Linked DNA regions of Saccharomyces cerevisiae S288C. The gene in region 2 interacts genetically with the main gene of each other region. Each region holds a gene or a part of one and is shown on either strand. Other genes may lie near its edges. The genes, in order: SAR1, SEC16, BUD31 and SEC12.

Evidence for each region.
Region 1: of SEC16 (region 2) and SAR1, extra expression of one rescues a mutant of the other (dosage rescue), as found in Saccharomyces cerevisiae (3 studies listed by BioGRID, with this or other methods).
Region 3: mutations in SEC16 (region 2) and BUD31 together harm fitness more than expected from each alone (negative genetic interaction), as found in Saccharomyces cerevisiae (3 studies listed by BioGRID).
Region 4: mutations in SEC16 (region 2) and SEC12 together harm fitness more than expected from each alone (negative genetic interaction), as found in Saccharomyces cerevisiae (2 studies listed by BioGRID).

What each region holds. Positions count from the first base shown.
Region 1 is NC_001148.4:134,464-141,343, forward strand, and holds SAR1 (Arf family GTPase SAR1), read left to right. Parts: upstream 1-4,234; coding exon 4,235-4,262; intron 4,263-4,401; coding exon 4,402-4,946; downstream 4,947-6,880. Other genes in the region: FLC1 (flavin adenine dinucleotide transporter), read left to right, coding at 1-961; 60S ribosomal protein uL1 RPL1A, read left to right, coding at 1,327-1,980; PCL8 (Pcl8p), read left to right, coding at 2,287-3,765; GTPase BMS1, read right to left, coding at 5,157-6,880. UniProt on the Saccharomyces cerevisiae protein: Small GTPase component of the coat protein complex II (COPII) which promotes the formation of transport vesicles from the endoplasmic reticulum (ER).
Region 2 is NC_001148.4:385,259-396,905, forward strand, and holds SEC16 (COPII coat assembly protein SEC16), read left to right. Parts: upstream 1-1,808; coding exon 1,809-8,396; downstream 8,397-11,647. Other genes in the region: Elongator subunit ELP3, read right to left, coding at 1-1,188; BRO1 (Bro1p), read left to right, coding at 8,780-11,314; tRNA splicing endonuclease subunit SEN54, read right to left, coding at 11,444-11,647. UniProt on the Saccharomyces cerevisiae protein: Involved in the initiation of assembly of the COPII coat required for the formation of transport vesicles from the endoplasmic reticulum (ER) and the selection of cargo molecules. Also involved in autophagy.
Region 3 is NC_001135.5:224,276-231,086, forward strand, and holds BUD31 (U2 snRNP complex subunit BUD31), read left to right. Parts: upstream 1-4,042; coding exon 4,043-4,516; downstream 4,517-6,811. Other genes in the region: TAH1 (Tah1p), read left to right, coding at 124-459; TVS1 (Tvs1p), read left to right, coding at 1,288-3,183; HCM1 (Hcm1p), read left to right, coding at 5,035-6,729. UniProt on the Saccharomyces cerevisiae protein: Involved in pre-mRNA splicing. Important for bud site selection.
Region 4 is NC_001146.8:670,593-678,336, forward strand, and holds SEC12 (Sar family guanine nucleotide exchange factor SEC12), read right to left. Parts: upstream 4,098-7,744; coding exon 2,682-4,097; downstream 1-2,681. Other genes in the region: SNF12 (Snf12p), read left to right, coding at 1-1,526; MPP6 (Mpp6p), read left to right, coding at 1,817-2,377; putative pyridoxal kinase BUD17, read left to right, coding at 4,331-5,284; peptidylprolyl isomerase family protein CPR8, read left to right, coding at 5,585-6,511; ZNG1 (GTP-dependent zinc transferase), read right to left, coding at 6,607-7,744.

The DNA.
Region 1 (6,880 bases), 250 kb from region 2:
AAAAGCTTTATTTGTCGGATTCGCACAGGCATCAGGTAAAACGCAAGCATTGGCTATTTTCATTATTGACTTGGCGTATTTTGTTGCCATCATCCGTTATAAACCATATTTGGACCGTCCAACGAATATTGTCAACATTTTTATTTGCACTGTCACCTTGGTCAACTCTTTCCTTTTCATGTTTTTCTCAAACTTGTTTAACCAAAAGTATGCTGTCTCTGCCATCATGGGCTGGGTGTTTTTCATTATGAATGCTGCGTTTTCTTTGCTTCTACTGTTGATGATTCTGGCCTTTACCACAATCATTCTGTTTTCTAAGAATCCTGACTCCAGGTTCAAGCCAGCAAAGGATGACAGAGCATCTTTCCAAAAGCATGCTATTCCTCATGAAGGTGCCTTGAATAAGTCAGTGGCCAACGAATTAATGGCCCTAGGTAATGTGGCAAAGGATCATACCGAAAATTGGGAATACGAACTGAAGAGTCAAGAAGGTAAAAGTGAAGATAATCTTTTCGGAGTTGAATACGATGACGAGAAAACAGGAACTAATTCAGAGAATGCTGAAAGTAGCAGTAAGGAAACCACCCGTCCAACCTTTTCTGAAAAGGTTTTACGTTCATTATCAATCAAAAGGAATAAGAGTAAACTGGGCAGTTTCAAGCGCAGCGCTCCGGATAAGATAACACAACAAGAGGTTTCTCCTGACCGCGCCAGCTCTTCGCCTAACAGCAAGTCATACCCCGGTGTCTCGCACACCAGGCAAGAATCTGAAGCGAATAATGGGCTAATCAATGCATATGAAGATGAGCAATTCAGTCTGATGGAACCAAGCATACTGGAAGACGCTGCTAGTTCCACCCAAATGCATGCTATGCCAGCCCGAGATTTGAGCTTGAGCAGTGTTGCAAACGCCCAAGATGTTACTAAAAAAGCAAACATCCTGGATCCTGATTATTTGTAAGCTTTGTCGATGGGATAAAGGTAAAAAGAACAACGTAATTAAATCATTACGAAAACTCTACTGCATTATTTTTTAGTCTTTTTATAGAGACATGAACATTCAATTACTTTCAAGGATAAATATTCTAATATTCATATTATTCACTTATGTATTTTTAACGAAACTCTACTCCATTCTACTGGGATCGGGCATACTTTACGGGGTGCACGGATTTTAGCAGTCTTTTTCTTTCTTGGCTTTTGCGAGATGCCTTGAGAGGAAGATTTTTTTTTCACTCAAAACCTCTGTCTTGTACATATCTAGAACATGTTTCATTGATATTGGACGTTACTATTTCAATTTAACAGTCAACCAGTCGTCCAAAAATGTCCAAGATCACTTCTTCTCAAGTCAGAGAACACGTCAAGGAATTGTTGAAGTATTCCAACGAAACCAAGAAGAGAAACTTCTTGGAAACCGTCGAACTACAAGTCGGTTTGAAGAACTATGACCCTCAAAGAGACAAGCGTTTCTCTGGTTCTTTGAAGTTGCCAAATTGTCCAAGACCAAACATGTCCATCTGTATCTTCGGTGATGCTTTCGATGTTGACAGAGCTAAGTCTTGCGGTGTTGACGCTATGTCCGTCGATGACTTGAAGAAGTTGAACAAGAACAAGAAGTTAATCAAGAAGTTGTCTAAGAAGTACAACGCTTTCATTGCTTCTGAAGTTTTGATCAAGCAAGTTCCAAGACTATTGGGTCCTCAATTGTCCAAGGCTGGTAAGTTCCCAACCCCAGTTTCTCACAACGATGACTTGTACGGTAAGGTCACTGATGTCAGATCTACCATCAAGTTCCAATTGAAGAAGGTCTTGTGTTTGGCTGTTGCCGTTGGTAACGTTGAAATGGAAGAAGACGTTTTGGTTAACCAAATCTTGATGTCTGTTAACTTCTTTGTTTCTTTGTTGAAGAAGAACTGGCAAAATGTTGGTTCCTTGGTTGTTAAGTCCTCCATGGGTCCAGCTTTCAGATTGTACTAAGCATAATTACGTGTTTTCATAGTTTAACGCTTTCAGAACTACTTATTTAATTTTGTAAGAAGTAATTTGAGTCACATTTGTATTTAGTAAAAGATTAAGAGTATTTCTATTTCACCGCCTTGATAGGAAAGAGCGGCGCGGAAGGGCAGCTGTAGGGAATTTTGCTCTGTATTCCCCTGTTTAATATCAAAAACAACAGAGAAGGATCCCCGATGAGAAAGACGCTCGGGAGGTCTCTGTGTTTGCTAGGCAATTGACATATTTAAAAGATTTTGTTTGAGGTTTTGCAGATAAACAAGAAGCAGTATGGCTAATGATCAAGATCCCAACAAGTCTCTCATTAATGACGCTTTGACTCGGAGTATGTCCGAATTTTATGATGATGATGATGATAACGACAGTGACATGTGTAGGGCAAATGATGAGGGAGAAGACGTTTTTGACCTTCCACTTAAGGTAGGCGTTTCTCAAAGCAGGAACTTTTCAGAAGTAAATGACGTGTTAGACCCGCTTTCTAGTTTGCATGGTCCGTCCAAGAAGGTGAGATTTGAACAGCAAAAGCAGCAACAGCAACATCAGCAACTTCACAATGACTTCAATACAGATTTCAACCTGAAAAGCCCGTCCAGTAAAAAAATGGGGGTAGAACAGCTGATCCAGTCAGCCAATGAAATCAACGATTACCTCGCTAACAACATTGACAAGGTAAATAGCTTTAACTCAGAGCTATTGAGCGGCAGTGGCAAGTTACCTGGGAGAGTAAAGAGTGACACAGCAACTCAAGGTACCGGACGCTTAGATTCCATGTCCAACTTTGCTCTTAGCGATACGGAGTTGGACAATGATGACGATAATTATCTCCTGGATCCCCTTGCAAATGCTAGCTCTACTACACCCACTGTGGAACACCACGGTTACAGCTTATTAGACAAGGCTTTATCCACGTCTGATAAGGAAAAAATATATACGAATAAAGTGAATTCGAATAGTCAGATAGATACTGATAATCACTCTCACGAAAGTGGAAACACTACCAATAACGAAACAGATGAAAATGAGAGTTCGGAGATCCTGGACTACACAAAATTTGATTCTTTCCCCTATCCCCCGTCTTCTGCCCCCAATGGGGAACCACCAGATTTGAAAGTGCTAAGCATTGAATGTGAGCAGGAAAATGAAAAAGAGCTACGACGAATATCTTTATTATTGGATCATTACGAATCAATACCGAAAATACCAGAATTGTCAGACGATGAAGCACTATCTAAGTTCCGTGAGAATATCGAATTAATTTTACAACTATCTAAGAAAATTAACGATAATGCGAACACTTTAGCGATTTCCTCCGAAGATCCTCAAAAATTTGTTAATTTTGTGATGAAGAACCCACCTTCCTTATCATTCAGAGATTTTATCGACAGAATCCAGAATAAATGCATGTTTGGTGCCGTAGTCTATCTTGGAGCCACCTATCTACTTCAACTTGTGTTTCTTACGAGAGACGAAATGGACGGTCCCATAAAGTTGAAGGCTAAATTACAGGAGGACCAAGCCCATAGGATCATCATATCTACAATAAGAATTGCCACCAAGCTATTAGAAGACTTTGTCCACTCACAAAACTACATTTGCAAAGTCTTCGGTATTTCAAAAAGACTGCTGACCAAACTGGAAATTTCTTTCATGGCGAGTGTTAATTTCGATGGATTAATGATTACTTGTGAAAAATTAGAAAAAACATTGCATATCCTTGATGATACAAGACAGGCATTAGGAAACACATGAGTTTTGCATATGTATTATGCAGGTTCATTTGTTCCTTCCCTTATTTCTTTTCATAGTATTTATTTTTATTTATTTATTTATTTTTTTTTGGATTTTATTTTATTTCTTTTTTAATGCTAAGAAAGTAATTCCGCATAATTAAACGTGTGCTGGCCTCGATAGGTACCTATAGTATACAGAAGCTTACGAAAAGCTCCTGCAGGATGGCACTTCTAAAATTCGCGCTCAACATGGCCGTATTGTACATTATATCGTTCTATCATTATATCGTATACGCCCGCATTACCCGACAACTCCGTCTGCAACGCGTTGACCAGAAAACTCGAACAAGAGATCGCATAAAAAACCAAAAGGAAACGAATTACTTGTCAAATAGTTATTGTAATGGATCCTCTAGAAAGGCAAACAGTAGATTTATTTCCTTCTTTTCTAGAAACATCATTATAACTAACAATATATAATTGGAATAATGGCTGGTTGGGATATTTTTGGTTGGTGTATGTTATCACCCTGTTCACGTTTTTCGGATACTTAGTTTTATTCAATGTGGTAAACATTGAATGTTTTCAGCTTAAGATCTATTTTTTTTTTTCTAGAAGAAATTGCGTCCTTTACTAACTTTATTTTACTGTACAGTCAGAGATGTGTTGGCTTCCCTTGGTCTGTGGAACAAACATGGTAAACTACTTTTCTTGGGTTTGGATAATGCCGGTAAGACCACATTGCTACATATGTTAAAGAACGATAGATTGGCAACCTTACAACCAACATGGCATCCAACTTCTGAAGAACTGGCTATTGGTAACATTAAGTTTACAACTTTCGATTTGGGTGGTCATATTCAAGCTCGTCGTTTATGGAAGGATTATTTCCCAGAAGTTAATGGTATCGTCTTTTTAGTCGATGCTGCTGACCCTGAAAGATTTGATGAAGCACGTGTCGAATTAGATGCTTTATTCAACATTGCCGAATTGAAGGACGTTCCTTTTGTAATTCTTGGTAACAAGATCGATGCTCCAAACGCCGTTTCTGAAGCGGAGCTACGTTCTGCTTTAGGATTATTGAATACCACTGGCTCTCAAAGAATTGAAGGTCAAAGACCAGTTGAAGTTTTCATGTGTTCCGTTGTTATGAGAAATGGTTATTTAGAGGCGTTCCAATGGTTATCTCAATATATTTAATTGACGTATACATCTATACCCTTTATATGACATTCACATGAATTCAACAGCTTTGTAATAATCAACAAAATTGCATAGGATGCCACCTCATAACTTTTGAGCACAGCATTTCCGCGATCATAGTATATTTTAGACTCTAAGATTGAATAAAAGTATGATACATCTTAAGTATACATATATATATGTATATATATATATATACATGAAAGTTTACCTCCTCATCTTACGTGGACGAGATTCATCGTCACCGCCCATAGTTGTTCTTTTACCATTCTGGGCGAAGTATTCTTTCTTTTTCTCCTTATCCCTTTGTGATTTTTCTTCCTCCATCTTAGCTAATTTTTTCAATCTTTCCTTACGTTGACTAGCCTTCTGTTCCTTCCTCTTGCTGTCTTTGGCTTTCGAAATCGTCAATACTTTTTGAATGAATGATCTTGCCTTCTTTTCATCACCACCTAGCACCACGGCTCTTTTAGCCATATATGTTTTCTTCTTTTGTGGTTTCATTTGATGGATCTGAGATTTGAATGGCAATTCCTTTTGAACAGCTTTTGGGACCTTTAGACCATTGAAGTGTCTTTCTACACGTTCTATTTTATGATATGCACTGTCCGGATTCGACGGTGTTTCCAGGTTCATAGCCGCTCTTATTTGGCCTGTCAATCTTAAACCTTTCCACTCGGTTTTTTCCTTCAACAATAGTGAGGTAACAGGATTATAGAATTTCTTGACGCGGACAGGATACCATGATCTTAGAATTACAATATCACTCATTAGGATTTTATCCTCAAAGGCTGCCCTATAGTGACCCTCAGGCTTTGAAAGTGCCCTTTTGATTTCACCACGGATACCCGAGACAGTTTTGATCTGCGCACCCTCAAACCTTGCAACTTCCATAGCACTTGAAAACATGTCCTTTATAAAGGCAGTATTTTTGAAAATTTTATATGGAAACCCAACTAATTTTAACTTTTTAACAATTTCAATATTAACGTCTATCTCTTCAACGATACCTGTTGCTGCAATTCTAAAACCGTTCCCGGTATCACTATTAGCAACAATTTGAACACCACAAAAAGGTGTGTTTGGAGAACATAAGGGACCGTAGAAAGCCGCATTACAATATGTGTGTTCTGGTGTATACTTTAGCATTCTGGTTCTTGTTCTAGAGTCAGTTGTTGTATAAATTGGTAAAGTTTGGAACCTTCTCCAACCCAAAGACAAGACCAGTGGGTCATTTGTCTTCAAAATCTTCTTATGCCAACGATGTCTTCTCAACCTGGCTTTGACAATACCGAACTTTATTTCGGTCGGCAATAAACCACCCATAACAATTGGAAATTTTGGATTGAAATTCTTGACAAATTCCATTGGGACTTTTTCGAAAACGATACGTACATAAGAACCAGCTTTGAAACCTTCGATTCTTTGACGTTGTTCTGGAGTCATTTCTTGATATTCTATATTGTTAATTTCTAACTGTTTAGATATCTTGGCCTTCTGTAGTTCATACCATGTATCATATTCATTGTTTTCATCATCTTCTTTAAAGTTTTCACCTTCTTCTATCTCGAATTGTGCACGTAGTTTTTCCTTCTTTGCAGCATTCATTTCTCTTTCTTGCTCCATGGTTAAGTCCTTTTTTTCCTCCGCATCAAAATTAGTGAATGAATTATCATCATCTCCATTAGTGTCTTCGTTTTCATCCTCATCCTCACTTTCTTTGTCACTATTGTCTTCTGCTTGTTCAGAAGGGTTTCCATCTTCTAGATCTTCAAAATCGCCGTATAGTTCTTCCCCACCTTCATTAGAGTCACTTTTCGTTTTATTATCATTACCTAAAATGCCTGCGCCGAGGAATCGCTCTTTGATTGCATCAACGCTTTTCCATTTTTTAGCCAATTTTTCGAAAGTGTCGAAATATGGAACAAACT
Region 2 (11,647 bases):
TGCCAATTCTCTCAAGTTACCATTGTCAACACCTGAGGTAACCAAGGGCATTGGAATGTCTCTTTGGACACGGTAGATTCTTGTCCATGGGGGCACTAGGGCCAAGATTCTAGCAACTAAGTCCACTAAGGCGTTGGCACTATAAGACTTATACCTGCCCGTTTTCCAAAGTTCGTATAAACCTGTACCCCTAATGACTAAAGTTGGATAGATTTTCAACCCATCAGTCCTAAAATCAGGATTTTCAAAATACTCTTTGAACTGTTCAATATCTCTTTCCATCCCAACATTTGGTAAATCTGGCATCATGTGAGAAACAACCTTATAACCAGCATCTTTAGACACAGCAAAAGTTTCACAAACAGACCTAACGGTGTGTCCTCTATTAGTATCACGAGCAACGTCTTCGTACAAGGACTGAACACCAATTTCTAATCTGGTACAGCCATATTTTAACATATCGTCCAAATGTGTTTGCGTACAATAATCAGGCCTAGTTTCGATTGTTATACCAACACACTTCGTTAAACTTTGTTGCGAATAAAGAATAGCTTCATCAATATCATTACCATTGAACCCAGAAAGTGCATTATGCAATTTCACAATAAAATCTTCACGATATTCTTTTGGTAATGACATAAATGTACCACCCATCAGAACATATTCGACTTTATCGATGGAGTGACCTAACTGTTTCAATTGTTCCACCCTACCACGTGCTTGTTCATAAGGGTCATAACGAGCTCTGATGGCACGCATTGAAGTTGGTTCATAGCCTGTGTAAGATTGTGTAGAATACTCAAAATCTGAATCTGGACCACCTGGACAATAAACACAAATATTACCTGTATATGCAATGTGAGGACAACGATGTGGTTTACACATAACGGCTACCACTGCAATACCCGATGCTGTTCTTACTGGCTTAGCCTTCAATTTGGGTAATAAATATTTTTTGTATTGGTCTGGAATAGAATTAATGATATCGGTTAACCTTGGTTGTTGCTTTAGTTTATATTTCTTTGAATATTTAGTAATCAAACCATTCAGATTAATTTCTCTTGTTGTTCCCGAGGTTAAAGAATCTGTTAACTCTAATGTGATATCAGCACAACATTGTATAAACCTTTCCTTTTCAGGTGCTAGCTTTTTTTTGTTAGTTTTTGGGCCTTTTCCATGACGAGCCATCTTTGTCAGGGTGTTCTTCGATTTTCCTTAGGTGCTTTTAGGACTTGTTTATTTCAAAACTTTGCACTGGATAATTTGAGATGAGCTAACTAAATTTCAAAATTTTTTGACCATTTTTTTTTTTTCATGAGGAAGAGCCAGTGACAGTAAATAATAAAAGGTGAAATGATTAAACAATGAAAGCGGCAGAAAAATAAAATCAAACAGTGGCAGTATTGACTTTTGAAAATCAGAAGTTCATCCTAAGTTAAGACTTTCTTCTTTTAAGTGCTTTCTCCTTCTCTCACTGTCTTATCGCTGTATATCTCATTGTTGAATAATATAACACAACGTTATAAGTGATCATCACTTTCTGATCCATAATTTCAAACCTCAAGCGACCGTACATGTGGCATTTTCCACTATAAACTTACGAGCAAGAGAAAGATATACGGAAAAGGTTAATTGGCAGGTTACACAAGATTTTGGTCATTGAATATTTGCAGCCCTCCTGCTTGAGAAACTGGACAACAACTGTTATCAATATTCCCTTTTCAAAATAGTGGTATTTAACTGGCCATAACCAAGGAAACCGTTGTACCTATTATTTTGTATAGTCTTCATTTAATAACGTGTTAAGAATGACACCTGAAGCCAAGAAAAGGAAAAACCAAAAGAAGAAGTTGAAGCAAAAGCAAAAAAAAGCTGCTGAGAAAGCTGCTAGCCACAGTGAAGAACCACTTGAATTACCAGAAAGTACGATTAACAGCAGCTTCAACGACGACTCGGTGAACCGTACAGAATCTGACATAGCTTCAAAATCTGATGTTCCTCCGGTCTCATCATCTACCAATATCTCTCCGGCTAATGAAACACAACTAGAAATACCTGATACTCAAGAATTGCATCATAAACTGCTCAACGACTCTGATCAACATGATATTACCGCGGACTCAAATGATTTGCCAGACAACTCAATCGTTGAACATGACTCTGTTATTACCCAAACAAAACCAGCCATGTCTCAAGAATACGAAGAGACTGCCGCTCACTTATCTTCGAGAAATCCATCGCTCGATGTAGTCGCGGGAGAACTTCACAATAATAATGAACATACCCAGAAAATTGCCGTATCCGCTGTGGAAGAGGATTCTTTCAATGAAGAAGAGGGTGAAAATCACGACAGCATAATAATTTCATCATTAAACGATGCTACCCCTTCTCAATATAATCATTTTCTCCCATCCGATGGCAATCTTCTTTCTCCAGAATTATCTTCTGGTGATACGCCAACTCACAATGTTCCTCTAGGCACAAAAGACAATGAAATAAATGACGATGAGTATTGTAATGATAAGGAAATTAGTTTGAACGCAAATAATGTGCTTCCTGATGAACTTTCAAAGGAAGAAGATGAAAGATTAAAACTAGAAACGCATGTATCAACCGAAGAAAAGAAACAGGATATCGCTGATCAGGAAACTGCAGAAAACTTATTTACGTCTAGTACAGAACCATCTGAGAATAAAATAAGAAATTCTGGTGATGATACCTCCATGTTGTTTCAAGATGACGAAAGTGATCAGAAGGTTCCATGGGAGGAAGATGTGAAGAAAGATTTTCATAATGAGAACACAAATAATACTCAAGAATCGGCACCGAACACAGATGATCGTGATAAGGGTTATGAAGGAAACGAAGCTTTGAAAAAGTCCGAAAGTTGTACAGCCGCGGACGAGAGGTCGTACTCTGAAGAAACTTCAGAAGATATCTTTCACGGACACGACAAACAGGTAGTTGAAGGCCAAAATGATTTCACTGGGAAAAATATTGAGAATGAAAGCCAGAAATTAATGGGGGAAGGGAATCATAAGTTACCGTTGTCTGCCGAAGCTGACATTATAGAACCTGGTAAGGATATTCAAGATCAAGCCGAGGATTTGTTTACGCAGAGCAGCGGAGACTTGGGAGAAGTTTTGCCATGGGAATCTACTGATAAAAACGCTGATGTAACGAGCAAATCCCAAGAGAAACATGAAGATTTATTTGCTGCTTCTGGAAACGATGAGAAACTTCCTTGGGAAGTTTCTGACGGTGAAGTATCATCGGGAAAGACGGAAAACAGCATGCAGACTAGTACTGAGAAAATAGCTGAGCAAAAGTTTTCGTTTTTGGAAAACGACGACGACCTTTTGGACGACGACGACAGCTTTTTGGCTTCTTCTGAGGAAGAAGACACAGTACCTAATACCGATAATACAACGAATTTAACCTCAAAACCAGTTGAAGAAAAAAAGGCTTCAAGATATAAACCTATTATCGAGGAGGAAGCAGGAATGCGTCAAGAGCAAGTTCATTTTACCAATACTACTGGCATTGTAACACCGCAGCAGTTCCACGGTTTGACTAAAACTGGACTAGGCACCCCCAACCAACAAGTCAGTGTACCAAATATAGTTAGTCCTAAGCCTCCTGTGGTAAAAGACAATCGTTCAAATTTTAAGATAAATGAGGAGAAAAAGAAGTCTGATGCTTACGATTTTCCACTGGAAATTATTTCAGAAAGTTCCAAGAAGGGTCACGCAAAGCCGGTTGCCGTTCCTACTCAAAGGTTTGGCTCAGGGAATTCTTTTAGTTCTTTGGACAAACCAATTCCACAGAGCAGGAAAGGCTCTAATAACTCAAATAGGCCACCCGTGATCCCATTGGGGACGCAGGAGCCTCGATCTTCGAGAACTAACTCAGCGATCTCGCAATCTCCCGTTAATTATGCTTTCCCTAACCCATACAAAATTCAACAACTACAACAGGCTCCTATCCAATCAGGTATGCCTTTACCAAATACCAACATACCTCCCCCAGCATTAAAAGTGGAAACCACCGTTTCTGCTCCTCCAATTCGGGCAAGAGGGGTCAGCAATGCCTCCGTGGGAAGTTCAGCGTCTTTTGGTGCTAGACATGCAACACAGTACGGCCTCAATAACGGGGTACCTCCGGTTTCGCCATATGGTCAAGCTACCATAAATTTGCCAACTGCGAATAAGTATGCCCCCGTCTCTCCTACAGTTCAGCAGAAGCAATATCCATCAGTTGTGCAAAACCTTGGCGCTTCGGCCGTAAATACCCCCAATTTTGTAAAGACCCATAGAGGCCATACAAGCTCTATTAGTTCGTATACACCAAACCAGAATGAACACGCCTCTAGATACGCACCCAACTATCAACAATCTTATCAGGTGCCATATACCTCACAACCTGTTGGTCCTGTAGCTGGGAATTCAAGCTATCAAAGCCAAACCCGAAGTTCTTATGCAGTTCCTATGATGCCCCAGGCTCAAACTTCAGCAAGTATTCAGCCTCACGCGAACATTCAACCGCCTACTGGCATTTTACCTTTAGCCCCCTTACGACCTCTAGACCCCTTACAAGCCGCTACGAACTTGCAACCCCGTGCAAGCAACATAACGGCTGCAAATTCACTACCTCTTGCAAATTTGCCACTTGCTGAAAACATACTGCCAGAAATTATCACGCATCGAGCTACAAGTAGTGTTGCACCACCACGACAGGAAAATAATCCAATTAAAATAGACAACGAGGCTTTATTACGCCGTCAATTTCCGATTTTTCATTGGAGTGCTGCAAACAAGGTCGTGTACGCAGTCCCCCCTATCCCTGACCAATCGCAGTACATGATTTCATCAAGCATTGTACAGGAAATAAAAGTGACACCAATTGACCAGATAATTAAACCGAACGATATGCTCAAAAGCTTCCCAGGTCCTTTGGGTAGTGCCAAATTAAAAAAAAAGGATTTAACCAAATGGATGGAAACCACTATTAAATCCATATCTGAAAATGAATCATCCACTGATATGACTATATGGCAACTATTGGAAATGAAACTAAACGATAAAGTTAACTGGAAAAATATTTCAAAACTACTATACAATTCTGACGAACTTTTAATGTACCTATCTCAGCCCTTTCCAAACGGTGACATGATTCCAAATGCATATAGACTGGATATAAATTGTCAGATGAGAGTCCTGGCGTTCTTACAAACGGGAAATCACGATGAGGCACTTCGCTTAGCTTTAAGCAAGAGGGATTATGCCATTGCACTATTGGTTGGCAGTTTAATGGGTAAAGACAGATGGTCTGAAGTCATTCAGAAATATTTATATGAAGGGTTTACTGCGGGGCCAAACGACCAAAAAGAATTGGCACACTTTCTGCTCCTTATCTTTCAAGTATTTGTTGGTAACTCCAAAATGGCCATAAAAAGTTTCTACACTAATAATGAGACCAGTCAATGGGCATCCGAAAACTGGAAGAGTATCGTTGCAGCTGTTCTGATTAATATCCCAGAAAATAATGAAGATCCACTACTTATACCACCTGTTGTCCTTGAATTTTTGATAGAGTTCGGTATATTCCTCACCAAAAAGGGCTTGACAGCCGCAGCTAGTACATTATTTATTATTGGTAACGTACCACTTTCTAATGAGCCAGTAATGGCAGATTCAGACGTTATATTTGAAAGTATTGGAAACATGAATACTTTTGAAAGCATTCTATGGGATGAAATCTACGAGTATATATTCTCGTATGACCCTAAATTCAAAGGATTTTCATCTATTTTGCCCCAGAAGATATACCATGCATCTCTTTTACAAGAACAAGGTTTGAACAGCCTGGGGACAAAGTATACTGATTACCTCAGTTCCTCAGTTCGAAAACTGCCTAAGAAAGATATTTTAACAATAAACCTCACTCGTGAATTGAGTGAGGTGGCTAGTAGGCTTTCCGAGTCTAATACAGGATGGCTTGCAAAACCAAAACTAAGCAGCGTATGGGGTCAATTAGATAAATCCTTCAATAAATATATTGGTGGCGATGATATTGATGCATTGAATAAAAAAAATGATAAAAAGAAAGTTTTTGATGGGTTCACACCGGGATCTTCTGCCAATTCGTCAACTGTGGATCTCACCCAAACATTCACACCTTTCCAAGCTCAAGTTACTTCGCAAAGCTATGTGGATACTACAGCTCTTTTGCATAATGCCCATAATGTACCAAGCCATAGTGTGCTGCATTCAAAGCCTTCCAATGTGTCAAAGGGGTTAGTTGAAGCAAACTTACCGTATACGCATAGGATCGGTGATAGTTTGCAGGGATCTCCTCAGCGCATTCATAATACACAGTTCGCTGCTGCTGAGCCTCAAATGGCTTCTTTGAGAAGAGTTAGAACAGACCAGCATACAAACGAAAAGGCTTTGAAGAGTCAGCAGATTTTAGAGAAAAAGTCTACGGCCTACACTCCACAATTTGGACAGAACCATAGCGTTCCAATGGAAAAGTCTAATTCGAATGTGCCATCTTTATTTGCCGACTTCCCTGCTCCACCCAAACTTGGAACAGTGCCGTCTAATTATGTGTCTAGTCCTGACTTAGTAAGAAGGGAGTCTATCATATCTACCGGATCAGAATTTCTTCCTCCTCCCAAAATTGGGGTACCTACTAAAGCTAATTCCTCGCAGGGATCGCTTATGTACTCACCAAGTGTGGAAGCTTTGCCTATCGACCCTGTCGTCCCGCAAGTTCATGAGACGGGATACAATGATTTTGGTAACAAACATTCTCAAAAAAGTATGCCTGAAGATGAATCTCACACATCACATGATAATAGCAATGCTGATCAAAATACATTAAAAGACTCTGCAGATGTTACAGATGAAACAATGGATATTGAAGGACCTGGCTTCAACGATGTGAAGAATCTTCTTCCTATGGAGCCCAACCACCAGCCTACGTCTACAGTAAATCCTATACAAACTATTAGTGACGATATCCAACCGATTCTTCAAACTAACGTGGAGGTCCGGGGTACTGATGCATCGAAAATGGAAAATTCACTTCCCTCCATTGAAAATGAAAGAAGTAGCGAGGAGCAGCCAGAAAACATTTCAAAATCAGCATCATCAGCATATTTACCATCAACTGGTGGATTGTCACTCGAAAACAGACCGCTAACTCAGGATGAAAACAGTATCTCAGAGACAGTTCAATCCACATACTTGCCAGCAGGAAGTATTTCAATGGAAGCTAAACCAATTTCTCAAGTGCAAGATGTTCCAAGAAATGTTAATAATAAAGCATCCAAACTTGTGGAGCAACATATGGCACCACCAAAGCCAAAAAGTACTGACGCAACCAAAATGAACTACTCACCATACGTGCCTCAATCAACTGCCGCTAGTGCAGATGGCGATGAATCAACGATTCTGAAAACATCGCCTGCTATATATGCAAGAACTCACCAAGCACATGCATCCAATCCATCACAATACTTTCCTTTGGTCAACCAAGCAAATGAAACTGCTTCATTCGAATTATCTGAATCAACATCCCAGGCACAAAGTAATGGAAATGTTGCTTCAGAAAATAGATTCAGCCCAATAAAGAAAGCCGAAGTCGTCGAGAAAGACACTTTTCAACCTACTATTAGGAAGGCTTCAACTAACCAATACAGGGCTTTTAAACCGTTGGAATCAGATGCGGATAAATACAATGACGTTATTGAAGATGAATCCGATGACGACAATATGTCTACTGATGAGGCAAAGAACAGAAAGGAAGAAAAAAAGAATGTGAATATGAAAAAGGAAACAAAACCAAGTAACAAGGACATAGATGACAAGTCTAATGGTTGGTTTGGTTGGTTGAAGAAAGATACTGGCGACAAAAAAGTGTATAAGGCCAAGCTAGGTCATAAAAACACACTATACTATGATGAAAAATTGAAACGTTGGGTGAATAAGGACGCAACCGAAGAGGAAAAACAAAAAATTATTGAAAGTTCGGCACCACCACCTCCTCCAATCGTGAAACGTAAAGATGGCGGCCCAAAGACAAAGCCACGTTCAGGCCCCATCAATAATTCCCTACCTCCAGTACATGCCACATCAGTTATTCCGAACAATCCAATCACTGGTGAGCCTTTGCCGATCAAAACATCCCCTTCTCCTACAGGACCCAATCCAAACAATTCTCCATCACCATCCTCTCCCATATCAAGGATTTCTGGCGTAAACTTGACTAGCAAAAAGGCAAACGGTTTGGATGATTTATTGAGTTTGGCAGGAGGACCCAAACCAGCAAGTACGAGAAGGAAGAAGAAAACAGCGAGAGGCTATGTTAATGTAATGGATAACATACAATAATTATAGTAATACGTTTTTCTTTCATGGTACCCTTATGCCTTCCCTTTTCTTGATGTATATTATATACTTATAAAAACCGTAGTAAATTTTATTAAAACAATGATTACAGGAATCCGTATTTAGGTTATGCATCGTTGTCAGTAAGAAATCAGATGAATGCGATCTGAAACTTTGCTTATACTAATATTATTCTATCATACCTCATTTTCTTGCTTCGATTAATGCAGGACGCCGGTTCCGGGTTAGGATCACCGAGAAACAGAAAGCAAGCAAGGCTTCAGTTACAATTCGAAGAAGTACTAAGGGGGTTGTCGTGGAAAAATCTTGAATCAGAAAGCGGCTGACTGGAGCATTACTAGGTTCATTACTCACTGGTTCTACTCATGAAACCTTACTTATTTGACCTAAAGCTAAAAGACACAGAGAAGCTGGATTGGAAAAAAGGCCTCTCCTCATATCTCAAGAAATCATACGGCTCCTCACAATGGAGAACATTTTATGATGAGAAAGCTACTTCAGAACTGGATCACTTAAGGAATAATGCAAATGGAGAACTAGCACCTTCTTCATTGTCGGAACAAAATCTAAAATATTACTCATTTTTGGAGCATCTTTATTTTCGCCTGGGTAGCAAAGGATCAAGATTAAAAATGGATTTCACTTGGTATGACGCAGAATACTCATCGGCCCAGAAAGGATTGAAATACACGCAACATACGTTAGCATTTGAAAAGTCTTGTACTTTGTTCAACATTGCTGTAATCTTTACCCAAATTGCGAGGGAGAATATCAATGAGGACTACAAAAACTCAATCGCAAATTTGACAAAAGCTTTTTCCTGTTTTGAATATCTATCAGAAAATTTTTTGAACTCACCTTCAGTCGATCTTCAGTCAGAAAACACTAGGTTTCTGGCTAATATTTGCCATGCAGAAGCTCAAGAATTGTTTGTCTTGAAATTATTAAATGATCAAATATCATCCAAGCAATATACATTAATCAGTAAACTTTCTAGAGCCACGTGTAACCTCTTTCAGAAATGTCACGATTTTATGAAAGAAATAGATGACGATGTGGCCATTTATGGTGAACCCAAATGGAAAACGACAGTTACTTGCAAACTGCATTTCTACAAATCGTTAAGCGCTTATTATCACGGTTTACACCTTGAAGAAGAAAATAGAGTTGGCGAAGCAATTGCTTTTCTCGATTTTTCTATGCAACAATTGATTTCATCCCTTCCATTCAAAACGTGGTTAGTGGAATTTATAGACTTTGATGGGTTTAAAGAAACTTTAGAAAAGAAACAAAAGGAGTTGATTAAAGATAACGATTTTATATATCATGAAAGCGTTCCAGCCGTTGTGCAGGTTGATTCCATTAAGGCGCTCGATGCAATAAAATCTCCAACATGGGAGAAGATATTAGAACCATATATGCAAGATGTTGCAAATAAATGTGACTCTTTGTACAGAGGAATTATTCCCCTAGATGTCTATGAAAAGGAAAGTATTTACTCAGAAGAAAAAGCGACGCTGTTGAGAAAGCAAGTTGAAGAAACTGAGACAGCAAATTTGGAATATTCTTCCTTCATCGAATTTACAAATCTACCCAGGCTCTTGAGTGATTTGGAAAAACAATTTAGTGACGGAAATATTTTCTCGAATACGGATACACAGGGACAATTGATGAGGGACCAAATTCAGACATGGTGTAAATTTATCCAAACAAATGAATTTAGGGATATAGAAGAACAGATGAACAAAATTGTTTTCAAAAGGAAACAAATTTTAGAAATCCTTTCTGCCTTACCCAATGATCAAAAAGAAAATGTTACAAAACTAAAATCTTCTTTAGTAGCTGCTTCAAACTCAGACGAAAAATTGTTCGCATGCGTAAAACCACATATTGTCGAGATCAATCTATTGAATGACAATGGAAAAATATGGAAGAAGTTTGACGAATTTAATCGCAATACGCCTCCACAACCTAGCCTATTGGATATCGATGATACCAAAAACGACAAGATATTAGAGTTGTTAAAACAAGTAAAGGGCCATGCGGAAGACTTAAGAACATTGAAAGAGGAACGTTCGAGAAATTTGTCTGAACTAAGAGACGAAATCAACAACGATGATATCACAAAATTATTAATTATTAATAAGGGGAAATCCGATGTTGAGCTCAAAGATTTATTCGAGGTGGAACTGGAGAAATTCGAGCCTTTGAGCACAAGAATAGAGGCGACAATTTACAAACAATCTTCAATGATAGATGACATCAAAGCCAAGCTAGATGAAATTTTTCACCTTTCAAATTTCAAGGATAAATCTTCTGGGGAAGAAAAATTTTTAGAAGATCGTAAGAATTTTTTTGATAAGCTGCAAGAAGCAGTGAAATCATTCAGTATTTTTGCATCCGACTTGCCAAAAGGAATAGAGTTCTATGATTCATTATTCAATATGAGTAGAGACTTAGCAGAAAGAGTGAGAGTTGCAAAGCAGACCGAGGATTCAACAGCTAATTCTCCCGCTCCTCCCCTCCCTCCACTTGATTCTAAAGCGTCTGTCGTTGGGGGTCCTCCATTACTGCCCCAAAAAAGTGCAGCCTTTCAGTCATTATCTAGACAAGGGCTCAATTTAGGGGACCAATTTCAAAATCTCAAAATAAGTGCCGGCAGTGATTTACCTCAAGGACCCGGTATTCCACCAAGAACTTATGAAGCTTCGCCATATGCTGCAACGCCTACTATGGCAGCCCCACCAGTACCACCGAAACAATCGCAAGAGGATATGTACGACTTGAGAAGACGTAAAGCAGTTGAAAACGAAGAACGTGAACTGCAAGAGAATCCTACGTCCTTTTACAATAGACCCTCTGTTTTTGATGAAAATATGTACTCCAAATACAGCAGTTAGGTGCATTTCTTATTTCTTAATTTTATTGTAGCTTTTTTTTTTCAACTAATATGATAATTATATATATACCGGATTTGTTGAAAGCCAGTTTTGCAAGGATAAAGAAACTGCGATTTAGCAAAAGTCCCTTTAATGCTTCTTCCATCTTTGATCTACTTTCTTTTGAGTATTAGGTGTATACCATACACTTTCAGATCCAAAATCAGCCTCGGACATTTTTACAAACGAAATAAGGCCATTATCCATAATAGCGATAATAAAGCTCCGATATCCCGTCTTCAATCTACGATTTTGCTGTATGTGAGGTGGGTACGCCTTTCTCTTCTTTTTCGT
Region 3 (6,811 bases), on a different chromosome or scaffold from region 2:
CTATATATATGTATATATATCTATATATATATATATCCCAGCGTATATGACTGCACAAGACGCAATTTTCTTGAACGGTTTTTTCTTTTCAGCACTGCGAAAGAGAGAGCAACGGTAAAGAGCATGAGCCAATTTGAAAAGCAGAAGGAACAGGGCAATTCTTTGTTCAAACAGGGCCTGTATCGCGAGGCTGTGCACTGTTATGACCAACTAATTACTGCTCAACCGCAGAACCCGGTCGGGTACAGCAACAAAGCCATGGCGCTGATCAAACTGGGTGAATATACACAGGCTATTCAAATGTGCCAGCAAGGACTGCGGTACACCTCAACGGCAGAGCATGTAGCTATCAGATCCAAATTGCAATATCGTCTAGAGCTGGCACAGGGAGCGGTAGGTTCAGTACAGATCCCTGTTGTAGAGGTTGATGAACTACCGGAGGGATACGACCGGTCCTGAGAAAAGAGAAAGGGAACACTTCTAATTTATCTTTAAAATTATATATATATATATATATATATGTGTGTTTGTATACTCTGTGGGTATTTCCGTGTATATGGTTAATAATAGTAGTATCTTGTCAGTTTTTTTTATGTTTTTCTTCGCGCGTCAACTTTCTACCAAGAGAAAAACAATATAAGGTCTCCTTACTCTATAGGAGAATAAAACAAACAAAAATAAAAAGCACATCGTAGCGCCAAGAAAATACTGCAAATACCAAATACCACAATAATACTACAATTATCTATACACAAGTGTTTTGCCGCTTAAAACTTCGATTTTCATAGTACGAAACTATACACCCTTGGTTTTTCTCTTTTCTAAATACATATCTACCTTGTAAAGAATTTCCCGCACATCTTTGCGGGCATACAGTTCATGTATTGGCAACTAACGGAACTAAGGCAACATATCTTGCATATTGCAATGTTCACTATATAGATGAAAACTTATATCTAGGTTTCACGACACGAGAATAACTAAGAAGCACGATCCATGATATAGAAAAATCAGTTACGACGAAGCACGGCAAATTAGCCGCCGAAGACCGATATTTTTGCCACCGGTCACAGTTTTCTTTTCCACGGAGCTCTTCGCGGTTTTTTTGTTCCGGATTTTTTTTACCGGCTCTTAGCGGACCGTTTTGGTTATAAGGGGAGTGGCAGCGGCGGTAGACACTGCGCTCTATAAGAATACTTGCAAGGGTCTTGTCTATTGTATAATTCGCTAGTATTTGTTTTGCATTGTACTCTTAATACCCCAACCAAAAACAAAATAGTGAGAGTAATGGTGCGTTTTGTTTCAATTTTAAGTTTATTCGGCTGCGCGGCGACGCTTGTCACGGCCCATGATGACATGGACATGGACATGGATATGGACATGGATATGGACATGAATATCGATACGACAACGTCTCAATCCATAGATGTCTCATCCACGGCTTCAATCGTCCCCGTGCCACATGAACCAAAACATTTGCATGGCCTTCCTATACTGCAATCGCCCTCGCTTACCCCTGCGGAGAGATTGTACTGGGAAAACTACAACACCACAACCTACTTTACTACACAGGCTGGGAATAGGTCTGCCCTTCGCTACCACATTATTACGCTGCTCTTGGTTGCATTTGTGCTCTACCCTGTGTCCCTGGCGCTAAGCGCCGCCCGTTCTAGGTGGTACTTACCCCTGCTGTTTGTTAATCTATGCATTTGTATTTCGTCCGTAATGGCATTGTCCGTGTTCAAAAATACTTTCCCGGAAGAAGACTGGTATGCGCATAATATCTATGGCACCACTTCTGTGCTACTTCTCGTTTTTATGCTTGTTCACTTCTTCGCTGCGGTGCTTTCTGTCCCCGTCTCATTAGCATCGAAAAAGGAGTACCGTCCGGTTGACACCATCCCTCTGAATGATCTTGAATCTACGCCCGTCATGGTGAATAGTGCACGTGGCTCTCCAAGTCCTTCTTCCAACAGAGACACGTTGTTCTCGCTCTCTTCAGACACCACGACCGCCACGGCCACCAATAATAATAAACGGAGACGCGCTGAAGGCGAAGACGAGGGTGATAACACCTCCAACCACGACACTTTGCGCGACGAAGACTACGATAATGATGACGACGAAATTGCTTCCATTGAAGCGCCACCTCTGCTTCCTCAAGACATACCCGTTTTCCGAATCTTGTTTACCAACACGAAGTACCAGATGCTTGCCGCGCACCTCTCGTGCGTCGCCAACGTGGTCTTTCACATGCTTACCTACCCGCTATTCATGTACATCTTTGTAGACCTAATCATCGGCTTCGCTGTAGGTAACTTGCTCGGCAAGGGCATCCGCATCTTTAATCTCTTGGCCCACTGGATTAAGGGCGGCGTATTTTTTACTCTGGGCGTTGTCTCTTTAGCAAGATACTGCGGTTTCGCAGCTAAGTACGGCTGGGCATGGAACAACATCAGCTTCACCTCTCAACTCACACAAACGCGTTCCTCCAATCTTCTTTTCCGGTTTGCTCCTGCGGGGACTTTCACCATGGAATTCGTTGAATCCTTCCTCATTTTCTTTTACGGGTCCACCAACATCTTCTTGGAGCACCTGGCAGGAAACGGCGGCGCATGGACTGCCAAGGATTTACAGCATGTGTCGATCGCGTTTATGTTCATAGGAACCGGATTGTGTGGGCTACTCACGGAGTACAAGCTCAACCATTGGCGATTCGAGCATGCCCGCAAACGGCCACAGACCGATGTAGTTGCTGCCACACCGGGGTACTCTCCAAACCCGTTCCCCGCTTTCACCATATTTTGGACTGGGATTCTGATGTCCCAGCACGCACAGTCCTCGCAATTTTCTACTACCATTCACACGCAATGGGGATACTTGTTGTCCTATGGGTCCTTCTTCCGTCTGCTAACATTTTTGATTCTGTTTTTGGTGCCCAACACCAACAGTGCCGCATCCAAGCCTTTCACGGAGTTGATCACCTCGTTCTGTCTCCTCTGTGGTGGTCTGGTATTTATGGAGTCCACGGATCAGTCCATTGAAGCCATGGAATATAGGGGGTTTACCCCCATGTTCACTTTCAACCTCAGTGTTGGATTCGTTTCTTTGTTGATGGCTTGGGAAATGATTTTATTTATTTGGAAAGACTGGCTCATCAAAACCAGGAAAACCAGTCTTTAACCGCCATAATGGCTTTTCTTTTTTCTTTTTTTTTTCACCCCCCCCTCATCTTTGAGTGAGAAGCTTATATGCTTTACTTTTCCTCACCTACTTTTTAATTCTTAATTATTAGTTTATCCAGCATTCAGTCAATTCTGAATGCGTTATCGCTTCCTCAAAATTTATAAAAATGAATAAGCAAGATCTCATTGGAATTGAGTTCAATGACGATTATTGAGGGCCCATACCTGATAAAAGTGAATATATTATGTATAATGACTCTACTGGAGGTTCTCTCTGAGAATGTAAAATAATCCACAAAAGACATGAAAATTAGTTACTCTACATAATGTATAATAAGTTCTTCCTTCCTTTTTTCTTTTTTTAGTTTTTCTACTCACCATCCTACCTACGCCAAGCTGCTCTACTGTCTTGGATCTGTGAAAAAACGCCTAGAAACATGTATAAAACCTACCGCTTTAAACCATAATTTCAAATCGAAATGGCACTATGGCCGAGTGGTTAAGGCGAGAGACTCGAATGGAATAAAAAGTTCGGCTATCTCTTGGGCTCTGCCCGCGCTGGTTCAAATCCTGCTGGTGTCGTTTAATTTTTTTTAAATAACATCGTTGATTAAAACAATCCTATTCACTGCAGTCACAGACTTAGCACATTTACAACCAGTACAAGATCAATCACACGCGTTGTGGTAGGAACTTTGACGATGATACTGCGTTGGCTCTTGAACGCATAGTACATTTGTCGTTCACAACGGAAAGTGAAATACTGAAAAAAAAAGAAAAATTTTCTTAGGGACTCATCATCAATGTAAACACCTCTACAGCCGTCAAGACTAGCAAAGCTCACCTCACAAAACGACATGCCGCGCATAAAGACCAGAAGATCCAAGCCTGCACCTGACGGGTTCGAAAAAATCAAGCCAACCCTCACAGATTTCGAAATCCAACTCAGAGATGCCCAAAAGGACAAGTCGTCTAAGCTCGCAGCAAAGTCCAATGAGCAGCTCTGGGAGATAATGCAACTCCACCACCAGCGCTCTAGATACATATATACTCTGTACTACAAGAGAAAGGCCATCTCCAAAGACCTTTACGATTGGTTGATAAAGGAAAAGTATGCTGATAAATTGCTAATTGCCAAATGGCGCAAAACCGGGTATGAAAAACTGTGCTGTCTGCGCTGCATTCAAAAGAACGAAACTAACAACGGTAGCACTTGCATCTGCAGGGTGCCTCGTGCACAGTTAGAGGAAGAAGCACGCAAAAAGGGCACACAGGTGTCCTTCCATCAGTGCGTCCACTGCGGCTGCCGTGGATGTGCAAGCACAGACTAACGACTATATGCACGTTGCAGTATTGTTCTGGCCATGTAATTATCTCTCTCCCAACGTTTTAGAAGAGGTTTTCGTCTCCTTCGTCAAAGACGACCACTTTCCCATTTTGGTCATTGGAACGCGAAAAAACAAAACAGACGCGAGAACGCGACGCGAAAAAATATATTTTTCCGTTTTTTTTTTTTTTCGGAACAAAGATAACGCGTTAAAACCTGTGGATGTAATAAGGATCTGAAACACTGACTAAAACGCGTCCTCATTTAAAATCAAAAAATTACTTCTTCTCCTCCCTTACGGTGCCCTTTGATCCTTCTCAAACTTTAAATATATGTTGCATGATTAATTGAAAATCATATAGAGTATATCTTAACAGAGGTTCCAACGCTTTAAATCGTATTCTATTCTTTTCCCCCCTTTTATTATAGTTACATCTACTATTTGAGCTTCTTTTATTGACCGAAACTACCTCTTATTTCGAAGCAAAAAAAAAAAAAATCAACAAAAATTCCAACTTTTCAATGATGAATGAAGACATATCCATCATTGATGGCCATAATAGTTTTTTAACGGAAAAAAGCACCGTGCTATTAACCCAAGCCAAGAGAACACTAGAAGACGAAAAGGAAATGATTACTCCCCCGAGCTCAACTGTGAGAAAAACAATGAAGGAAGTAAATAAGAGGCCGTCGCATCCCCTCTCACCGGATCACTCGTCCCCAATTGCTCCATCTAAGGCCAAGCGCCAAAGATCGGACACATGCGCTCGGTCCAATGGTAACCTAACCTTGGAAGAAATTCTTCAATCTTTGGAAAGAAGAAGAATAAATGGTGAACTCGCCAAGAAACCTCCATATTCGTATGCAACTTTGATTTGCTTGGCCATTTTGCAATCTCAGGAGGGAAAGCTAACGCTATCCCAGATATATCATTGGATCCACGTTCACTTCCCTTATTACAAGCAGAAAGATGCTAGTTGGCAAAATTCAATAAGACATAACTTGTCTTTAAATGATGCGTTCATCAAGACTGAAAAGTCCTGCGATGGTAAGGGTCATTTCTGGGAGGTCAGACCGGGTGCCGAAACAAAATTTTTCAAAGGTGAAAATCGTGGTTATGAATTTGTAAAGGACTCCTTACAAGACATTGGGAAGTATTTTGAAATAGATTCTACACTTGATGAATTAGAACAAGTTGAGAGTGGAGAAGGCAATGATGATCTTCCTGACGAGGAAGAAAGAGAGGAAGCAGGGAAATTCCCTTCCATTGAAATTCAATTGAACTCCTCCCCTATACTGAGAGTTTCCCAGTTACATCACATACCGCAATTGAAAACAGACAACAGTGTACTGAACCCTCACGAAAACCTAGAATCGATGCGGAACATGATAGAAAACGATGTCAACAATATAGATTCCTTGGAACCTCCTTATGTCATGAAGAAATATCATACTTCTTTAGGCTTACCGTCGCTGGTGAATGCCAAAGATCATTTCCAGGCGGGTGTGAAAAACAATAATATCACCCAGGCAAATAGATTTAATACACTCCCTATAACTAGCGCAAAGTCTCCTCAGAATTTCAGAAAATATTTCACCTCATTCAATTCAAATTTTGAAGATTTATCTCCACTTCGAAGTAATGTAGGGGCTGGTTCTCTACTCGACCCACTTCCGTATTCCCCATTGAAGCTGTACGATCAGAAAAATCTTGCGCTCATGTCGAAACCACAATCTCAGCAATCATATTCCAATTCTCAACTTCCACCTCCACCTTCCTCTCATGGTTCGGACTTACTTAAAACACCCAAGATGAGGCATTCCGATGGCTTAGAGAAAACCCCATCGCGGTTGATAAGCACACCTAAGGACGGTAACTCGATTTTGAGGAAATGGCAGACTCCTTCACACCTTTTTGAAGATTTGTACTGTTCTCCGCTATTTAGAGCTATAGAGACTCCAATCAGGTATATCACGACGCCGGGGGGCACTTTGGAAACCCAAATTTCACCAAGAAAGTCCTCTGCACCCGATGTCCTCACAAGCGCAACGAATTCCAAATTTGCTTCAAGCGGGCTGTTTGGCGTGGATGTTTATTCTGTTTGGAAGCGCGCAACTGAAAAGATTTCTGATGGTAACAATACTACGGATAGCAATCAAAAACATCATCCTTATCATAATCACCCTTCCAACGATAGCGGTAATGAAAAGAATTGACTTTTTTTTTTTTTTTTTTTCATTTTCTTTTCCTCACCGAAAACTAATTATTCTTAATCTGATGGATTCATCGCAAACGGTT
Region 4 (7,744 bases), on a different chromosome or scaffold from region 2:
TGGTTATCCCTGACCATTTAGCCGAATTGATTCCTGAGCTGTATTCTTTCCAACAACTGGTGGATTCCGAGAAAAGATTAGATCATTTTATTCATCTGCGAAACTTACATATGAAGCGAATGGTTGCGCAGTGGGAGAGGTCAAAGCTATCCCAAGAGTTTCTTTATCCTCATTTAAATTTTCCAAATGTAAAATTTCTCCGAATCTTCATTTCAAATGTTAGTGAAAACCAACCCTGGCAAATGGACACAAACAATGAGGCTGACCTTATGGCACTGGAGAATGCCACTTGGACGATGAGAATCGAAGGTCGATTATTGGACAATGTGCAAGCTAATGATCCAGCAAGAGAAAAATTTAGCTCATTCATAGAATCGATAGTGGTAGACTTCAAAAATAAGGAAAACGATAATGTGCCATCGACTAAATTTAATGCGGCCCCTGAAGAAAATGCCACCGAAGGACCCAGTGATAAGAAATTGAACTTAAACTTACCGTTACAATTTTCACTGCCGAATGGTGACAACTCTACTACGACTAATACCGACCAAAATAATGCCACGATGGGGGAGGAGACTGCCAAAAAGGATATGAGTTCTACAACTCCAAAACTAGAATCAGTGAAATGGCAGTATGACCCGAATAATCCTGTAGACTTCGATGGTCTCGATATTAAGAGGGTAGGGTCTGAAAATGTAGAATGCACTATAAGCATCCTGCGAAAATCATCCCCAGAAGAGCCATTTATGAGCTACTCTCCACAACTAACCGCAATAATAGGATTGAAGAGCGGTACATCACATGATGCAATATTTTCCATATATAAATACATCCATTTAAATGAATTGCTTACCAATGATGAGTCTGCATTCGAAAATTTGATGGGCAACAGGAACAATCACAATAGCAACACCAGTACTAGTAAGATGCTTGATGCAGCCTCCAGTCAAGTTTCTATTGTAAAATTAGACACTCAGCTTATTACCTTATTACCCAGCAGTCTTAAAGAATCTTCTCCAGATACAATGAAATTAACGGATTTACTGTCCCTTATTAATAGTACTCACCTGCTCCCATTACAGCCAATTGAAATTGATTACACAGTACGCGTTGATAAAGCTTCCACTTATGGTGAGTTGGTTCTTGATATTGAAGTACCTGATGTCAACGCTCTAAAATTCAATAATACACAAAGAGAAAGTCAAATTGGGGCTGCTGAATTGAATGAAAATGCCAGGGAATTGGAACAAATCAAACCCAAGATAGCTTTACAGGACAAAGAAATAACGTCCGTTCTCTCGAATCTACACGAGAGCAACAAACGATACCGTTTCTTCAAGAAAATTAGTGAGGACCCAGTTAAAGCATTAAATGAATGCATTGCTTCTACCTCGAATGCTTTGAAAGTTTTATCGGGAGATGAGGGCTATAATGAAGATATGGTAAGGCGGGCTAACTTTTACAAGGAAAATGAAGCTATGTTGCGCGAGAATATAGAAGTCATATTATCAAATGGACGAATGTAGGCTTCTTTACATTGATACACAATAGACTGAAGATTTATGTAGTTTTCTTTGTATATAAACTCTAGATAGGAAAAGAAAGGTCACCATTCATTTATAATAATTAAAGACGAACAGACAATGCTGATTTGTTTATAGCGCCTACAAGTAATGGCGGCTGTCTGATTCCATTGTCTCTTTCTAAGAAAAGCGCTGAAAATTTTCTACTGGAAATTTCAGAATATGAAAAAGTAGTAGAGATGAGGGCCACTTAAACACAATAAGCATATAAGGAACCAAGGGAAAAGCAACAAATGAGTGCTAACAATGGTGTCACTGGCAAACTCTCTAGTAGAGTCATGAATATGAAGTTTATGAAATTTGGTAAGACGGATGACGAAGAGAGTTCCAACTCCAATACGCCGTCTAATATCAACTCAGATGTGGAACCTATAGAGCAGAAAGGTAAACTCTTTGGTCTGGATGACTCAGCGTGGGACCTCAATAGCTACAAAGATGATTTAAAAAAAATTTCAGGTAAGGAGAAGAAAAAGGTGAAAAGAGTAGTATATAAGAAGCGACCCAATCTCATAATCTCCAACGTTGGTTACAGTGAACTGCGAAAACCTGAGGGTGTGATAAGTGGGAGAAAAACCTTTGGCGATAATTCTGATGATAGTGGTTCCAGGAAGAGAAAGTTTGATGAAGGCGAACAAAATGAAGACGAGAAAAGGGATGCTAAGGATAAGGAATTTACAGGGAGCCAAGACGATGGAGAGGATGAATATGACCTAGATAAATTATTTAAGGATAGCATCAAAAAGAAAAAGACCAACCATAATGGTAAAAATAAAAATAGAAATTCAAAAAAGTAGCGCAGACAATGCACCAGCAGAAGTACGTATTCGTATATAATAATGAGAACATAATATAAAGCATTGTGTAGTATTTTTTTCGTATTTGTCATAAACCATAAGGACTGCCGTCCTTTCTATTACGCTCAATTCCAAAACATATACAAAAACATGTAAATACACCACTTCTAATTTATCAGATAAATCTCTATCATCAATATCATTGAGATCGTTTTTGTATCTTTGCGTTTTTTTTCATAGCTTGAGTGTCGTCACTCTCCTTTTCGCTACTTCATTATTGCTACCTCATAACTTTCTCTCAAGCTCAAGCATCATCTATTTCTCGAAAAGTTGCGTTGGTGATCTCAAACTCTGCCCCTCCAGTATTAATAATGTTACTTTCAGTACATAAGACTTCAGTTCCATTCACAGAACTCGTCTCATGCACGCCATGCACTTTTATGGAATCTACGCTAGGTACAGATGTTTTTGTACCGTGGTTGCCAAACAAAGTTGTTTGATGTAAGTCTTCATCAACTACGTAGGGCGAAGAGATGGTGTCTCTTTTCGTTAGAAAATTGTCCTTCGCGTAATTGAAAAGCATGGAATGCAAATTGTGCTTATAGGAGAACTGTAAAATGTAAGAAAGCAGCACAATAAGGATGAAGTTGGTGAAAAATTTAGAGATTTTTTGTTTCATTGAGGTGTAGTTGGCGTAGTTAAGCGGTAATTTTATTATGTGGATAGTGTTGGCTGCCGAAACACTCGCCACATATGTAGAGTCCGGAGAGATAGTGACCTCTGTAATGGCAAAACTATGAGCTTGTTTGAATATTTTAGACATTGACAGGTCTTTTAGTTTCACAAGAGCTATGGAATTGTCATTACTTGCCAGTACCGCCAATTCACCCTTCATGTCGACATCCATAGAAGTAATCCCTTTGAATCTGTTTGTCACTTGTTTGGATCTTAATACGGAAGTGTTTCCTGATTTGATGCTTATTTTGGTCAGCACAATACCTTTCCCTTTTTTTAAAGAGGCTGCTATCAATACTGTGTCATCGGCTATGAAGTTTATTTTAGATAAACTCCAATTCTTATCAAAATCTGTTTTCCTAGCAATGCAACTTCCAGTCACTGTTGAAATCACTTCCAAGCTAGAACCGGTGATATAAGCAACAACCTTACCATCAGTGGAAAAGTGTAAATCCTTTACTTCACCCCTAGTCTCGATCTCAAACTTCTCTGTCAAGTCGCTCGGGTCAATGATTCTCATTATAGCAGGTACTTTAGATGATGCGATAGCTGCAACGGTACCTTCTCGTGAAATATAAACCAGCTTCGTGTAGTCATCCGCATTTGTAGATGCGTCAAAGTCTACACTAGTGAGGAACTCCAATTGATCATTCACTTTATCGTATTTAAATTTTCTCAAGTGCTTATTACCTTTACCTTGGGTAATCTTAGTGCTATTTTCATTGCAGCCAACCAAAATGATACCCTTGGAAGCGTCAATTGCAGTAGGAGAGTCGTCGTTGTCTTCCAATGCAAACTCGCTCAATATATGAAACTGTTCCTTCTCAGTATCTTTGGTAGGATCCACGCGCAAGACCGTCAGCTTGTTTGGTATGCCATTGTTTCCTTCTCCTCCACCGCCTGCCACAAGTAATGTGTCGTTATTCAAAAATTTTGCACCGTACGCAGGATACCCGACGTTATAACTAGCTGTCACGAACTTCATAGTGGCTCGATTGTATCTCAACCTTGTTATATATCTGTATTTCTATCACGTATCCTTCTAGGTTTCTGTACACGTTTTTGAATTTTTTGGATTTTTTTTTTTTCAACTTTTCTTTTTTCCCTCATTCTTACTCTATTGTCATCACCATTCAAGATAAAGATAATAACTAGCTTTGAGAAATTAGACCAGACGCAGTGGAAGGTTGAATACATGCCTGTGTGAGGGTGGTGCCAATGACCAGTACATTACATACGACAAAAAAAGTGCTCTCCATTCAATCACACGTCATACATGGCTACGTGGGAAACAAGGCCGCTACGTTCCCACTTCAATACAGAGGTTGGGATGTGGACGTATTGAACACAGTTCAGTTTTCTAACCACTCGGGGTACGCCCACTTCACAGGCTTCAAATGCAGCACTGAGGAGTTGGTAGACATTGTAGAGAAGGGCTTGATTGGGTCTCTTAGAATCAAGTATGATGCCGTACTTAGTGGCTATTTACCCAATGTTCAAGCCCTGCAAAAGGTAGCAGGAATAGTGGGTCAATTATGTGAGGGGAGTGAAAACGTCAAGTGGATATTAGATCCTGTACTGGGCGATAATGGAAGGCTGTACGTGGATCGAGAATGTGTTGCGGTATACCAAGACATTTTACAAAACTTCAAAATTTTTTTGGCCACACCAAATCAGTTTGAAATGGAACTGTTGGTGGGGATGTCAATTCGTACCTTAGACGACGCTAAGCAGGCATTTAAACTATTTCATAAAAAGTACCCTCGAGTAAGCCGAATAGTTGTCACTAGTCTGGAATTATCTGAATTCCTGAGCAACGACACTTACGTAGTAGCAGGGTTTGATTGCTCGGCCAGTGAAGAGATATTCTTCTATGAAATCCCCAAGATCAACGCAAAATTTAGTGGAAGTGGTGATTTAATCAGCGCCATGCTCACTGACTCGTTACTAGGCGACCGCCGCTGCACACAGCTGTCATTAAGCGCATCCTTGGGCCAAGTGCTGTGGCTCGTCACCAGTATCCTACAAAAAACGTATGATTTAAACATAGCTGAGCGGGGCCCACAAGATTCCACGATAGATATCAAGGATTTAAAGCTGATTCAGTGTAGAGACATCCTAAAGCAAGATCTCATACCCTCCATTGGCAAGCCAAAAACCATTAAAATATGATTCTTACGAAACGGTATGCTCCTTCCTCATTGGGGTGCGGCTGCTGCAGGAACCTGCCTAAATAGGAAAATACATTCCTGATTTGGAAACTGTAGGCACACGACGCGTCCCTTTGGAGAAGATCGATCCTTCTTTGGGTCTTTCAATTTGATTGGAAAAAAAATATTTAAAAAAATAGAAGAAAAATATAGAATATATAGAATATATAGAATCAACTACTGCAGTAGATAAATAAAGAAGACTATTCATATTCAGTATCACAATTGAAAGATTATTACAATTTGTATACATTGGTTCCCAATGAAGAGCTTTTTTCTTTATCTTTATGTGGCATTCATGTTTAGTTGCATAACGGCTCTGCCATTACCTGTGGATAACAAAAGGGCTTCTTCAGACTCCTTAGACCTAAAGAAAAAATACGCACCAGACCCTCCTATTACACATAATGTAAACATCGGAATTGTTTTCACAGATCCTGAAAGTTCGGAAGAAGCCGGCCGTCTCATAACAATAGACTTATACGGGACTATGGTGCCCAAGACAGTAATGACTTTTTGCCAGTATGTTGATAGTGTAAAAGATCGCCTTGCTTCCCGTCACAGTTACTCGCCAGAACGCGATTTTGATAAAATTCTACCGAATGGAGCTATAGAAGGTAGCTCCGTTTCTTCCTCCTCTATTGAAGAAACGGAAATGTTGGCTCCAAAACTCCCGGAAGAAAATCATAGTTTAATTCATGATAGGCCAGGCAGAGTTTCCATGATTAAGGACGATAAGGGTCTTAAGTTTATAATTGAGACCAGTGAGACGCCACTTGAAGGTGAAAGTGTTGTGTTTGGCCAAGTTACCGCCGGGTTAAAAGATCTGATGGATAAACTAGCTAATGTGAAAACTGACGAAAATGGCAAACCAGAGCAACCAATAACAATAGGTTACATTTCATCCCAGGAACACAGGATTCAGCATGCAAAGGAAGCTCACGAAAAGTATTTACAAAGGCTTCAAGATTACCAAAACGGCGATTTGGAGAAAGGTATTACATTGAAGAATTATTTATACCAGGGTAGTCAAAGAAAGTTAGAAGACGCAAAATATAATCAGCTTCACCATCCTTTACCAAAGATTATGCTTGGTATTTCGGTATTGTTACTTTTCTACGTTTTGGCCAAGTACAGGAAAAGAATATTCAACAGATCGTCTAAAATAGTTTCTATTAGAGAGGATTAAAATGTTTCGATCCATCCGCTTAATATTCATTCATTTTGTATCACATACATACGTATAAATATACATAACTTACCTCGTCTTTATTATGCCAACCATCATTCCAGGGTTTTACGTAACAGTTCCTCTATGGATTCCTTTTCTAGGTACTTCCCAATCAGCACAATTTTACACTCTTTATTGGATCCGTCATATTTGCCTGGAAAGACATCGTAGGTGTCGCGGACGCCTTGGATTACACGAGCAATGGGGTTCTCTCCTTCAATAAGTATCAGACCTTTAGTTCTTTGTACTTCCCAATCACGGCCGTCATCTCGGCGACGCCCTCCCAGCACTGTCATGGCTCCAAAATTCTTCCACAATAAAGGTTGCAAAAATTGCTTAATAAACTTATTATTATATTCTTCCTCGTTTTTTAATGGTCTGAAAGTAAGCATTATTGTGCCCATTCGATCATCATGAATGGTACCGTTTCCGCTACCACTATCTAAGATGTCAGATATCCGTACACTGTCGTATGCATGAATATCTAGTAAATTTTGAATCGGCGTATCACTATACTTGGTGAAGAACATCGGTGCGATAGAATTTATTTCCCGTACTCTTTCTTTTAATTGTTTGACCATTTCTGGTGAATGTTCGATAGTATCGTATTTGTTCATTATAATTCGATCAGCCATGGCTAGTTGGAAGTGTGCAATAGTCAGATTCCCCTCCAAACCAACTTTGTCACCATGCCAATGGGCATCGATGGAAATATCATCTAAGCATTTTAGTATATGCTCACAATCCAAAACCGTGATGATCCCGTCAATGTAAACGCTGCTATTCAATCCTTCGTCCTGCCAGAACATTTTCGCAATGGGGGCGGGATCTGCAATACCGGAGGTCTCTAAAAGGATATAATCGATTTTACCAGGTGAACGCTCCACCATATCTTCGATGGCTTTAACACCTATATTTTTCAACGAACAACACAGACACCCGTTACCCAAATCCAACCATTCTTGGTAGCTGTTCGATCCATTTTTAATGGTCATAGCCTTTTCGATTTCACTAGAATCTCCAAATTCATTTAAAATTACGGCAATTTTTTTATCTGCACCTTTTAATGCAATTTTTTCCAGCAACGTCGATTTACCTGATCCTAGATAGCCGGTAATAATGCTCACAGGAATACGCTTTTTCTCGTGCACATCTGTTGCGCCTGCAGAAGTGTTCTCCACTTGCTTGTTT